Linked DNA regions of Rattus norvegicus. The protein of the gene in region 3 binds, or shares a complex with, the protein of the main gene of each other region. Links are inferred from orthologs where the notes say so. Each region holds a gene or a part of one and is shown on either strand. Other genes may lie near its edges.

Region 1 (3,645 bases), on a different chromosome or scaffold from region 3:
ACTTGGGTCCTCCAGCTTGTGCATGAGTGCTCTGCTTATGTCTGTAAGTCGGGGTGTATGTGTATCGGGTGTCGCTGCCTCTGTGTGGAGATTAGAGGACAAGTCTGTGGTGATGAGGGCTCTGGGGATGGAGCACAGGTCATGAGGCTTGAGGTGTAGCAACTTGGCTCACTAAGCAATCCCCTGAGCCCTGTATTCTTTAAATTAAACTGTAGTTATATTTTACTGTGTGTGTGTGTGTGTGTGTGTGTGTGTGTGTGTGTGTGTGTGTGTCTTCGTGTATACACACATGTGAACTCTCACAGGGCAGAATGCAGGAGTCAGTTCTCTTCCACTAGACTGAAACCCAGAAGGTCAGGCTTGTGGGAATCCCTTTTTTAACTGCTGGGCCATCTCTCTTGCTGCCCCTTCTCTTTTGTTTTTTCTGAGACAATGTGACCCTGGAGGGTCTGGAACTTAAGGTTTCCCTACCTCAGTCTCCTGAGAGACACCACAATGCTGTACCTACAGATTCTGAAAGGGAGGCTGGTACAGAGAGCAGTCTCTGACACTGAGTCCTGCCATCTGCTGCCAGGGCTCAGGCTACACACTCTGCTGGGTTTCAGTCTTATCCCTGACTTCCGCCCTGGAAAAGATGGCAGGTTGGGAAAGGAAGAGAAAGGCAGCCTACCAAGAGGTTAACGGCCTCAATGACGTCCAGGAATACTTCGTTCTTCCGATACTTGATACCTTCTGAGCGCCAGGACACAGCATTGGTGACGGTGGCTGGGGGCCGAGGGGCTCCTGTTTCCAGCTTGTGGCCTTCCTGAGTGATGTACCTGTGGGGAGTCGCTTAGTTACAGTAGTGACACACAACGTTCCACCGAGATCAGGACAGAGCTTGAAGCCCCACATCAACTGGTCGGGGAGGGTACGGTATGCATGCTATAGTGAGTGGGCCAAATACACTTCATTTCTGAGGCAAGGCACTGGTGTGCGGTGGGGAATAGGATTAAGTGGTCAGCACTGTGGGCTCCTGGAGGGACTGAGCCCTCTGCCACCAGGACAGCAGAGCAGCAGCTCTCCCCAGACTCCCAGGTAAGTGGCGAGCTGGCACCCCAGGCCGCACGGAGCGGTGGAAGTGCAGAATGGGGCCTGCTGGTTTCTGCCTCTGCAGGTGGGGATTCCAAAAGCCTGCCTCAGTTCAGTACAGTCAGCAAAGGCAGGGCTCCGATTAAGGTACCATATTTGTGTGGGTGGAGACATGGGGTATATGTATAGGAAAGGGTCCTGACCCAAGAGGCACTCAGCAGAAAGCATCTGCAGGGCTGAATCCCTGCACCACACACAAAATTAGGAACTCCATGTCCAGAACCCAGTACACAGGACACATGGCCCATTCCTGTCAGCCCAGCGCTCCAGAGGCAGACATAGGAGGATCAGGACCCTATCTCAAAATAACTAAAAAACAGTTGGTGCAGAAGGAGCAAGCTGATTGCTCTGTTGGGCTGGCAACTAAGCCGCTGGGAGTGGGGGTAGGCAGGGGACACGTGTACTCACTCCTGCAGGATCTTGCTGTCGGTGGTCTGCGGGTAGCCGAAGTCCATGAGCTCATCCAGAAGCTCATAAATGATAACAAAGTTGTCTCGGATGCTCTCCTCCTCCAGCTCCTTAAAGTACTCAGAGAACACCTGGGCCAGGGGCAGCGGAGCAGGACTCAGCCCAGACCCAGAGTGATTGCACAGGCCAGAAACCAAAATCTGAACTACAGACCACAGGCATTGGCCAGGCGGGGCCCTGTACCAGCACTTTGGCTGTCCAGGCCTCTGTATCAATCCCAGCTGTGCCTGTGATCCCTGCCTCGGCCTCAAGACTGCTGCCTATCCACATAGGGTGTTGCTGTCTGGCTGTAGACAAGCACCTCCATTTCAATAGGTAGCTAGGGGGCTAATGAAGGGACCTGGTCTTTACACTAGCACAGAAGCGCACAGGTCCTTACAAGTGGGAAAGGCCGGCTCTGGGAAATGTGCTCCAGCACCCCAGTCATATTCCACCAATCAGAGGTGGCTAAGCCAGGCTGTTCAGAGTGGACCTGCTCAGAAGGAAACCACCTGGAGGCTCTCCCCAAAAGATAATGGAGGCTCTCCATCTTCTACCCTTGTCTAAGAGGCGCCCACCCAAGAGGGAGGGGGAAAGACAGGAAAGGGGTTCCTGACCTCCAGAGGCACTTAGTGGAAATACAGACTAGCCCTGGAGCCCTTGCTTAATACTAGCACCAAACAGGTTGACTCAGCAGCCAGAGGTTACTTAAGTCCAAAGGTGTCCTGGGTAAAGCTAGGCACTAATTAGTATCAAACCACACTCCATGGCCCCAAGGTCCAGCCCTGTGCACCTAACTGATCCCAGGCCCTACTGCGCAGGCACAGGGCCTGGATCACATGATGCACCTCCTGCCAGGAGGGTTGCACAGCCAGGTTCCCATCTTGCTAGCTTTCTTTACCTCCAGGGTGGGCATGACTCTCACCTGCAAGGAAACTGAGACTTCCTGGACCAGGACCCCTGGGTATACAAAGCTACAATCCCCAAAGTCCTCCCCAGCTGGGAAGTCAAACCACTGGGGCCTTACCTGCACCACCTTGTAGAGGAAGGAGAATACTAGCGACACACAAGCATTCTTTTTTGAAGTGGCGACCACTGGTGGGTAGCAGTCAAGGAGCCTTCTGAGGCCAGGATACCACACCACAGGTGCCCATCCCCACGGCTCCCTGCCCCAGCCACAATCCAGTGGTCCACTGAGCCCAAAATTAGGACTAAGCCCCAAGTCTGAGCCAGGCCAGGGACATGTGGTAAGCATTCAGAGGAGCCTTGGTGACAGAAAGTGTAAGGTTTAAGGGGTAGCTTCTGGATGCTGCATTTAGGAGCAAGACTAGGAGAGCCCAGCTAGGTGGAGAAGCAGCCAGGGCCAGGCCTCTCTTCTTTCTGTTGGTGACAAAGCCCCTACAGTCCTCTGCTCTACCAACTGAGCTATCGAAGGAAGCCGACAAAGCCCTTCTGAGGAGAATGCTATACATGTCTATTCACTCCAAATAGGGAGCCCACAGTAGACCCAAGGATGGGCCATTTCCTTTCAGGTATCCTTGGAAGCTGCCCACTGGGTCCATATAAAGTCTGGTCATAGGGAAGCCAACACAGGTTAGAAAATTGTTAAGGCTGCTGGCTCTGCTGTGACGCAGTCTGCAGTTTTGCGTGTTCTCCTAACACTAATTATGGCCTGAACAAATGGACACATACATAAAATCAATCTGTAGATTTAGTACGACATCAGAAAGACATGAGAAACTCTCTCTCACCAGTGCAAACACAGCACAGCTACAAGCATTTCATGCAAGTGAGCAGCAGGGGAAGCCACCACCAAGGTCTCAGCCAGCTAGGCGTTATGTGTGGACATCCATGGAGATAATAGTGATAGCAGTCACTTCACTAACATGAAGACGACCAGGTGTAATGGCACTTCTACCTACCTTACAGCCCAGCTGAGGCTTGAATAATTGAAAGGAAAAGTGGAGGGCTACAGAGATGGCTCAGTGGTAAAGAGCATAGGTTGCTCTTCCAGAAGACCCAAGTTCAATCCCCAGCACCCACATGGTGGCTCATCACTGGCTTTAA
Region 2 (4,306 bases), on a different chromosome or scaffold from region 3:
TTTTTTTTTTGTTCTTTTTTTTCGGAGCTGGGGACCGAACCCAGGGCCTTGCGCTTCCTAGGTAAGCGCTCTACCACTGAGCTAAATCCCCAGCCCCAATTTTGAACTCTTGATCCTAATATGTCTGCCTCTACCTTCCAAATCCCCACATTATAGGTGTATACCGGCGCATTCCTGTTCTGTAGCCCTAAAGCTGGTCACCACCTCTTGCTCCTCCTGCCTCAGCCTCTGCAGAGCTGGGATTAGAGGTATGCCTCACCACACCCAGTTCTCAAAACCCACCCTCCATTTTGGTTTTGGCTTCTTGTTTGCTTGACAGAGCCTCACTGTGTAGTCTAGGCTGGCTGTGGCCTTCTGGCTATGGGTTTACACCACACCCCTTCAATACCTTAAGATTCTCCTCATTCCGTCCCCTTTCTCCTTAATTTACAATTTCCTCCTGCTCTTTATAGTGTCCCCCTTTTCAGCAATTTTTTTTTATCCCTGGTTTCTACATATTTTGTTTGCTTTAAGACAATGCAGCATCTCCAAGTTCTTAATGAATACTTAAGTGTTGTACTGTCTTAGTTTCTTTAAGGTTACATTTAGAAGTATATTTTGCATTGTCTGTGACCATGTGGGGATGTATGCAGGACCAGGGCACTTGCTTGTGCAGATATCAGAGGACAATTTGCAGGAGTCAGTTCATTCTTTCCACCTAGTGGGTTGGGGGGAAACATCTTTACTATCCGAGCCATCATATCTGCACTGTTTGGTGTCACTTTTTTTGTTGCAGACAGGTTCTCTTGTGGCCGTGGGCGGTCTCGACCATGCTATGTAGTTGAGGCTGAACTTGAACTGCTGTTGCTCCTGTCTCTGCCTTCCAAGTGTAGACATCACGTATGTGCTCCTGCCGTGTTTGTTTTGGAGACAGGATCTTGCTCTGGAACTCTGAGCTGTTCTTGAACTCTTTATTCTCCTGGCCTCCCGTCCTGTATTTCCCTCATCCTGCCCACCACCACCCTTTCTTTGACTGATGTTTCCCACACCATTCCTCCCAACTTCTTCGTAAACTCTAAAGATCCTTCATCCACCTCTCACCCTTTTCCCGCCTTTTTCCCCCCCACAAATGCTCCAAAGCTCGAGGCCCTCATTGTCCTCCACTCCCCTTCCCATCCTCCAATCAACCCACCAAGGCAGCCTTGTTACCATGACGACCGGGCTTTTGCAAAGCTGAAGTCAAGGACCTGGTTACCATGGTTTCCGCTTCTCCGCCTCCAGCCCCGCCCGCGCGCCGTATGAGATTGGGGGGGGTGTGCTGCAGCGTTGGCGCCTGCGCAGTGAGACCACGCCTGGAGCCGGCGCGGTCTAGGGGCGGGGCTTCAGGCGGAGAGGGAGGGAAAAGAAAAGAATCCGACTGGGAGTGGAGCTGGCTTCTACGGTGGCCGGAGAGGGACGCACCGGGCCGGAGGCTGCAGGATGGTAGGCTTTGAGGAGAGGGAGGGGACGGGGACCCGAGGGGCGTGGGCTGTACCTGCGAGGGTCCGGAGGGGGGCTGCCCTTTGTGGGAGTCGCCCTGTCTTCTCTGTGGTCCGCTAAGGATCCACTTCCCAGAGCTGCTAGGGAGAGCTGACCTCGGAAGCTGGAAATGGCACTAGGACAGGGGCGGGGAGGAGTCTTGGTTGGGAGAGAGGGGACTAGGGCTGAATGGTGGCGGGACTGTCCGGAGCCTGGAGAAGCGCTCGGGATTCTGGGTTCGGTCCTAGAGATCCTCCCAATCACCGCCGCAGGGAAGACACGAGGTTGGGGCTCCGGGGTCACTCGGGATGGTTGCAGGTTGCCGAATCCCCTTCCCATGAGGCCCACACTGGAGCAGGGCCCATGGAGAGCTCAGTGTGGGAGGGGACAGTTTCCGGGTCTCTGGAGTGAACCTCCTGTCTCGGTTCCTTGACAGAACTCGCTCGGAGTTCTAGCTCAAGTGGGCTCCAGGGTTTGCAGTCAGGGAAGACTCCCTGACTTTGGCAATCCCAGCTCTCCACCCTCTCCGGTGCATTTTCTTTTCCGGAACCCAGGCCTTCCGTCTTCCTGCTGTAGTTGTCACCTCCTTTTCTTAGCTGCACACGGCTCCCTCAGTTCTTCACCTTCCTTATCCCCCACCAACAACACTCCCTAGTTTCTGGGGTTTGTTTCTTTTAACTTAACCTGCTAAACTGGAAGTGTGGCACACACACAGATATCCCAACCCCGGCCATGTTCTCAGAGCTGTTTGCAGGGAATTGAGTTCAGGATATGGAATCCGGAACCTCTGCAACTGGGAAAAACAAAGAAAACAAAAACAACAACAACAAAAAAAAAACAAAAAACAAAAACTAGGTCCATGCGCGAAGCAATGAGGACTCTGCCTGCTATTTATTCCACAGACATTCCCTAGGAGAGCCCTCCTGGGTGACTGGGCCCTGTCTGAGGGACTGAGCAACCAGTCACCTGATGTCTGGGAAGAAAGGTCAGGCCTTATAGTGCACACCTGTAACCTGGCACTCAGGAGCTAGAACCAGGGGGATCAGAAAACCAAGGGTAGCCTTGGCTATCTGGTAATTGAGGTCAGCCTGTGCTACGTGAAACATTGTCTCCAAACAGAAACAGAGAAAAGAGGGCCAGAGAGATGGCTAGGTAGCTGATAACCTGAGGTCATTCTCAGGAACCCACTGGTGGGAGAAGTGAACTGACCTCCACATGTGGGTGGTGGAACCTGGGTGCCCCACATATATATGTAAAATAATATAAAATAACACTTTAAAAAACTGGGAAGAAAGAAAGCCAGTACTTGGAGCTAAATGTGTGGACAGCAAAGGAAAATGGAGGGCAAGATCTGAATATCCCTGTGCCTCGTGCAATCCAATGTATGTACAATTTACAGAGAAGAATGTCAACAAGCATGGGACTGGCACAAGAGGCCATATTGAGTCAGGAACATCTGAAGGCTTATTGCAGGATGGAGTAGCCACCCAACATCTGTGAGACATGGGGTCTAGAAGAACATACATAGAACTGCTGTCTGTTGACATCAGCTCATCAGGAGGCCAGGCATTTTCCCCATGGAAAACAAGGTTAGGAAACAGAAGTTCAGGGGAAAATAGCAGCGCCTAGCATGTTGCAGGTCCTACTGTGTGCCAGGCACCCTCATAAATGAACTCATTTAAGAATTCCTTAAGGGAAGAAGGGTGGAGAGAGAGATGGTTCAGCAATTAAGCACACTTACTGCTCTTCCAGAAGACCAAGGTTCAGTTTCCAGCACCCATGTCAGACAGCTCACAATTTTCTGTAACTCTGGACCCAGCAGATCTGACACCTCTGGTCTCTGTGGGCACTTGCACTCATGTGCACTAACCCGCTATGTAGACACATGCACACTCACACAGAGTTAGAAATAATAAAAAATGGGCTGGAGAGATGGCTCAGTCCTTAAGAGTATGTGTTGCTCTCACAAAGGACCCTCCCATCACCCACCATGGCGGCTCATAACCGTCTATAACTCCGTTTCTGGGGGATTCGACAGGTACGCGTGTGGTGCACATACACATGTGCACATAAATATCATACACATACCACAAATCTTTAATAACAATAAGTCCTAGAAGACCTCTATAAAAAAGTGTCATTTCCATCTTGTGGATAAGCAAACCGAGGTTCAAAGGCTGCTTGATACTACTGAAGGGCAGTCAGACAGCTCAGTGGGTAAAGGCACCTTCTGCCAAGCCTGAGTGTCAGAGTTTGATCCCTGGAGCTCACACAGTAGACACAGACAACCAGCTCCCCAAAGCCGTCCTCTTACCTATACACACACACAAGTAAGTGTGATAAAAATGCTTTTACGTTTATTTTATCATGTGTGTGGGTTTGTGCTCGCACAGCATGAATGTGGAGAGAAGACAGCTTGTGGGAGTTGGTTCTCTCCTGTAATGTGGGTCACAGGTATTGAGCTCAGGCCACCGGGCTTGGAACCAAGCACCTTAACTGATTTAGCCATCTTGCTGGCCCAGTGTAAAGTAGTTTGCCTGAGGCTGTACTCAAGCTAGTAGAGCCAGTATTTGAACCCAAATCACAGGCATAAAAATCTTTGACTTCCCCCCCAGGTACGACACTCCTTGTAGGGATAGCACCCAGTATTGACAGCTAGGACAGGAGTTTTGAAGGAGTTATCGATGTACAGCCTGGAGTCTGGGGCTGTGTTTGTGTAAGAAAACAGGCTCCACCCCCCTTCTCTGCCCCTCAGCACCGGTCCTTCTTCCCTTGCAGATGCGATTCATGCTACTGTTCAGCCGGCAGG
Region 3 (3,638 bases):
TGTCCGTTGTTACAATTTAGGGTCTTCATAGTAATGACACTATGCTGGCCTAGCAGCATCACCTGTGTATGGCTTTGTTTTGGGTGTTATCCTGGGCACTACATTTTGTTAGTGTATCTTGAGCTTCAAAATGCTACATTTCATAGATTTACCACATAGCTTTCATTTTTTTAGTGTCTCTGAAATTGATGTGCAGTTTGAGCTCAATACCATAAAGCTGAGGATTTAGCTCAGTGATAAAGGCCTAAGTTTGATCATCTCCTTCCCCATAGAAAAATAAACTTGATGTCTAATCATAGTTTAATGGGAAACTTTTTCTTTTTCAGTGCTATATAAAATAAATATTTGCATCATAGTTGATAGTATCTTAAATGTAATGAAATATATTAGTAATGACATTTTACCTTACATAATTCATTTTGAGAATAGAATTATGAATGAGACCCCAAGATAATAAGCTTGTGCTTTCAGTTTGACTCTTCCTTTTCTAATATATGAGCTTATAAAGGGCTCCTCTGTCAGTCAGGAAAGGCTTTGTACAGTGTGGTTTACCTGGCTTGCCTAAAGCACTTTATTGTTTCACCTCTGTAAACAGGTAAAAGCCTATCCACACTGAACAAACTAAGACATTTGACTTGTCTTGACCTTTTGTTGTTTGGGCTGGTTCTGCATGTACTTTTTCTTTAGGGCCTTGTGTCTCTGGTGGAACCATCCTGAATGTTCCACTTACATATTTACAGCTGGCTTTTCAAGCCATTCCTTCCCTTTTCTTGTAGGGGCAGACCTTGACAGACCTTGGCATACTGCACGTTAATTGTTCAGGCTTTAGGAAAGAAAGGTCTAATCCCGAGGCCTAGTCTTGAGGTTCCATAGTCACATAAAGGTCTGTAGTCCGTGGCTAGTGTGTTGGTTTATGAGGTTTGGAAAGCTTTTCTGTCAGGTTCTTTTTGGCTTTGTTTCAGGCCATAGGCCTCCAATCTTTACTTGCACAGTTGATCAGTCACTACTAATCAGGGTTTCTAGAACAAGGAGTGTTGCCTTTTGAGAAGTGATAGTCTAGAGCTCCTTTAGCTAGAGACAGGAAAGTAGCTCCACTATGTTTCCACAACCAGAGACTTGAGTTGAATGAGTGACTTTCTGCTTACATATCATGGATGGAGTCTGGAAAATAAGCACTGTCAAAGCATAGGGAACCTGTCTCTGACCCACCTGCTGGCCGGCTAACTGCTTACTTGCTGGCTTCTTTGACCCAACACTGCTATTTGTTCTCATGCGTGTCCTTTGTTCCTCTGTAGACATTCCAGCTGCAGCTTCTGTCTCCTAGCAGCAGCGTCGTCCCAGCCTTTAATACAGGGACCATCACACAAGTCATTAAAGTTCTGAACCCACAGAAGGTAAGTAGTACATTTAAACAGATCTGTATAAGGTTCAAGTAAGCTCAGTTTTCTTTCTGACTCAGATCTAGGAAAATGCCTGGTCTAACTTCCTTGTTCTTTTGTAGAGATAAACCAAGCCCAGGGACATCAAAAAGATTAGTGACATTAAAATGCAACTAAAAATTCTCTATTGTGAGGATTAAAGGTATTGTTTTGAGGATTTAGCAAAAGTTTAAATCAGAGGTTGAATCAAAAATCTATATTTACTGTTACAATTAGTATGGTTATTAAAACTGGAAGCATTTTAAGTGAAATAGTTAAATGAAAAATAGCAGTAGAAACCAGTTTAGCCAGAGTTTCACTATAGAAGAAACTATAGAAGTTTCATCTTCTCAATGAAATCAACTGTTTTTCCCTTATAACTATCTGATTTTCAGTTTTTGCTTTTCAAGTTCTCTGCCTTTTCTCAGTTCTTTTTTTTTTGTATCTCAATCATGTTATTACTATAAACACAGCACACATTATTTTCATCATCTGATACCTGCAACAAAACTTTTTTTAATGTACTGATATTTGATATTTGCTACAGAAAGTACAATACACTTAAAACCATTCCTGTTACCTGTGTACCCAGGTTTTTCTTTTATGCTTTGGAAAAACAAACATTGGTGATGTTTACTGTGGGCTGCATAAACCAACCAACAGGTGACCCATATGTATAACATGTGACATGTGTCTCCCTCATTTTCTAGAGACTTGGACAAAGAGTTAAATTTTTGTCGTTCCCCCCCTCCCCAATTGTATTCTAGGTGTGCGTGTTCTCTGCTTGATGGCCTTGATGTTGATTCGTAGGCTTCAGTCAGCAGCGATAGATGTTTTGGCACAGGCTGTCTGTCTGTCTGTGTGCCACTTGAGATAGCGTTACCTGGGTGTACTTTACCTACCTTTAGGATAAATACATCTGTGGAGTGGCATGGCAGCACGTGCCTGGGGTCCTCAGTACTTGGGAGGCTGAATCAGCATCACTTGAGCTGAAGGGTTTGGGGCTAGCCTGGTCCACGTCGTGGAACCCTATTTCCAAGAAACAGTCTATAGACTGCCGAGACAGGGAGATTTAATTTCAGTGAATTAATTCATGGTTCTCTTTCCCTTCTATAGCAACAGCTGCGAATGCGGATCAAGCTCACATACAATCACAAGGGCTCAGCAATGCAGGATCTCGCAGAAGTGAACAATTTCCCCCCTCAGTCCTGGCAGTGAGGGTGCAGCACCATTCTCATTCTATCCCACTCAATCAAAGGAATTCTGGGAAGGAGGTTGTGATTGCTGGCAAGTCCCCCACTGTAACCATGGGCACGAGGAGCTGAGAGAGCTGTTGAGGGTTCTCCTCACCTTACTGCTGACCTTGAAGCATCAGTAAAGACTAATGTCCTCTCCTCCGCTGTTGAGGCTGGCTGCTTCTCAAGGCTACTTTGCACTCCTCCTCTTCTCCCTTTTCTGCACTTCACCCCTCCCACATTTGCAGCCAGAATCAACATTTTCTGGGCCACTGAGGCAATCAGCAGCGGTCTGGAGGAGAGGACTGGAATTCACGGCAAGAAAACACTCACTCTGTCTCTGCAGCAAAGAGTGGCCCCTACTTTCTACTGTGGTGTCTCTGTGGACTGGGCAAGGTGGTTACCATCGTAAGGCGCTTTTATACCAGGCAGGCATTGGAATGGATTGTAACAATGGACATAAGGGAGCCCTGCCCTTTTCTGCTGGTTCTCCCAATGTTTGAAAGGTGTTAGGCTCCTGGCAGCCTTTTCTGTGCATTGCTGTATACACACAGACACACATGTATGTATGTTTGTTATATAAAAAAATCTGGTCAGACCTTGAGAGGTGGTTTGTAAACACTGGACAGATGCAGTTCAAGAGCTTTTGTTGAGATTTGGCATGAAGGATATGGTGCTCTATTTCTAATAGAAACTTCCAAGGCTCCCAGCTCCCCTTTCTCTCCATTCTTAGCTGTAGTCATGAGTTCTCTCTCCATGATTTTCAAGATCAGTTCCCATTAAATTGCAAAGTGGACACTTTCTAAAAAACATATGAATAGTTATTAATGATCCTATTCCCCCCACAGTGTTTCTCCCAAGCCTGTCACTTGCCTGTTTGAGCTGTGGTAAATGGGTCAAAAGAGGAGTTCAGTCCTAAGGAGCAGACCCTGTCACAAACACCATGGCCCATAGGAAGAGCAGTACCAGACTCAATCTGGAGCAT

What was found.
Region 1: the proteins of Ap1g1 (region 3) and Ap1m1 are in contact, whole or in part, in a cryo-EM structure (PDB 7R4H), measured with the Mus musculus proteins. The link is inferred for Rattus norvegicus from reciprocal best matches to the Homo sapiens genes AP1G1 and AP1M1. Residues at the interface, in NP_001288140.1 of Mus musculus: Arg24, Glu25, Gln28, Lys29, Ala32, Arg35, Ser36, Arg39, Glu40, His64, Phe65, Gln67, Leu68, Gln97, Val99; in NP_031482.1 of Mus musculus: Ser289, Asn318, Asp319, Ala320, Asp321, Ser322, Trp334, Pro336, Glu337, Asn338, Ser339, Gly361, Leu362, Pro363, Ser364, Val365, Glu366, Ala367, Glu368.
Region 2: the proteins of Ap1g1 (region 3) and Ap1s1 are in contact, whole or in part, in a crystal structure (PDB 1W63), measured with the Mus musculus proteins. The link is inferred for Rattus norvegicus from reciprocal best matches to the Homo sapiens genes AP1G1 and AP1S1. Residues at the interface, in NP_001288140.1 of Mus musculus: Leu7, Arg8, Ile11, Arg12, Arg15, Leu54, Tyr55, His57, Met58, Gly60, Tyr61, Lys78, Phe79, Thr80, Arg83, Ile84, Leu87, Met90, Leu91, Asp94, Glu95, Thr115, Phe117, Leu123, Cys124, Gly127, Cys128, Tyr152, Lys155, Lys156; in NP_031483.1 of Mus musculus: Met1, Leu14, Arg15, Leu16, Gln17, Lys18, Trp19, Leu21, Ala22, Thr23, Asp25, Arg28, Lys29, Arg42, Lys45, Met46, Cys47, Ser48, Phe49, Glu51, Lys56, Gln74, Asp75, Asn76, Glu77, Leu78, Ile79, Leu81, Glu82, Leu83.

What each region holds. Positions count from the first base shown.
Region 1 is NC_086034.1:17,626,368-17,630,012, forward strand, and holds part of Ap1m1 (AP-1 complex subunit mu-1), read right to left. Parts: intron 2,674-3,645; coding exon 2,606-2,673; intron 1,671-2,605; coding exon 1,540-1,670; intron 819-1,539; coding exon 671-818; intron 1-670. UniProt on the Homo sapiens protein: Subunit of clathrin-associated adaptor protein complex 1 that plays a role in protein sorting in the trans-Golgi network (TGN) and endosomes.
Region 2 is NC_086030.1:25,260,654-25,264,959, forward strand, and holds the start of Ap1s1 (adaptor-related protein complex 1, sigma 1 subunit), read left to right. Parts: upstream 1-1,382; 5' UTR 1,383-1,458; coding exon 1,459-1,461; intron 1,462-4,275; coding exon 4,276-4,306. UniProt on the Homo sapiens protein: Subunit of clathrin-associated adaptor protein complex 1 that plays a role in protein sorting in the late-Golgi/trans-Golgi network (TGN) and/or endosomes.
Region 3 is NC_086037.1:54,733,988-54,737,625, forward strand, and holds part of Ap1g1 (AP-1 complex subunit gamma-1), read left to right. Parts: intron 1-1,209; exon of another isoform or gene 1,210-1,295; coding exon 1,296-1,394; exon of another isoform or gene 1,395-2,472; intron 2,473-2,534; coding exon 2,535-2,636; 3' UTR 2,637-3,638. UniProt on the Homo sapiens protein: Subunit of clathrin-associated adaptor protein complex 1 that plays a role in protein sorting in the late-Golgi/trans-Golgi network (TGN) and/or endosomes.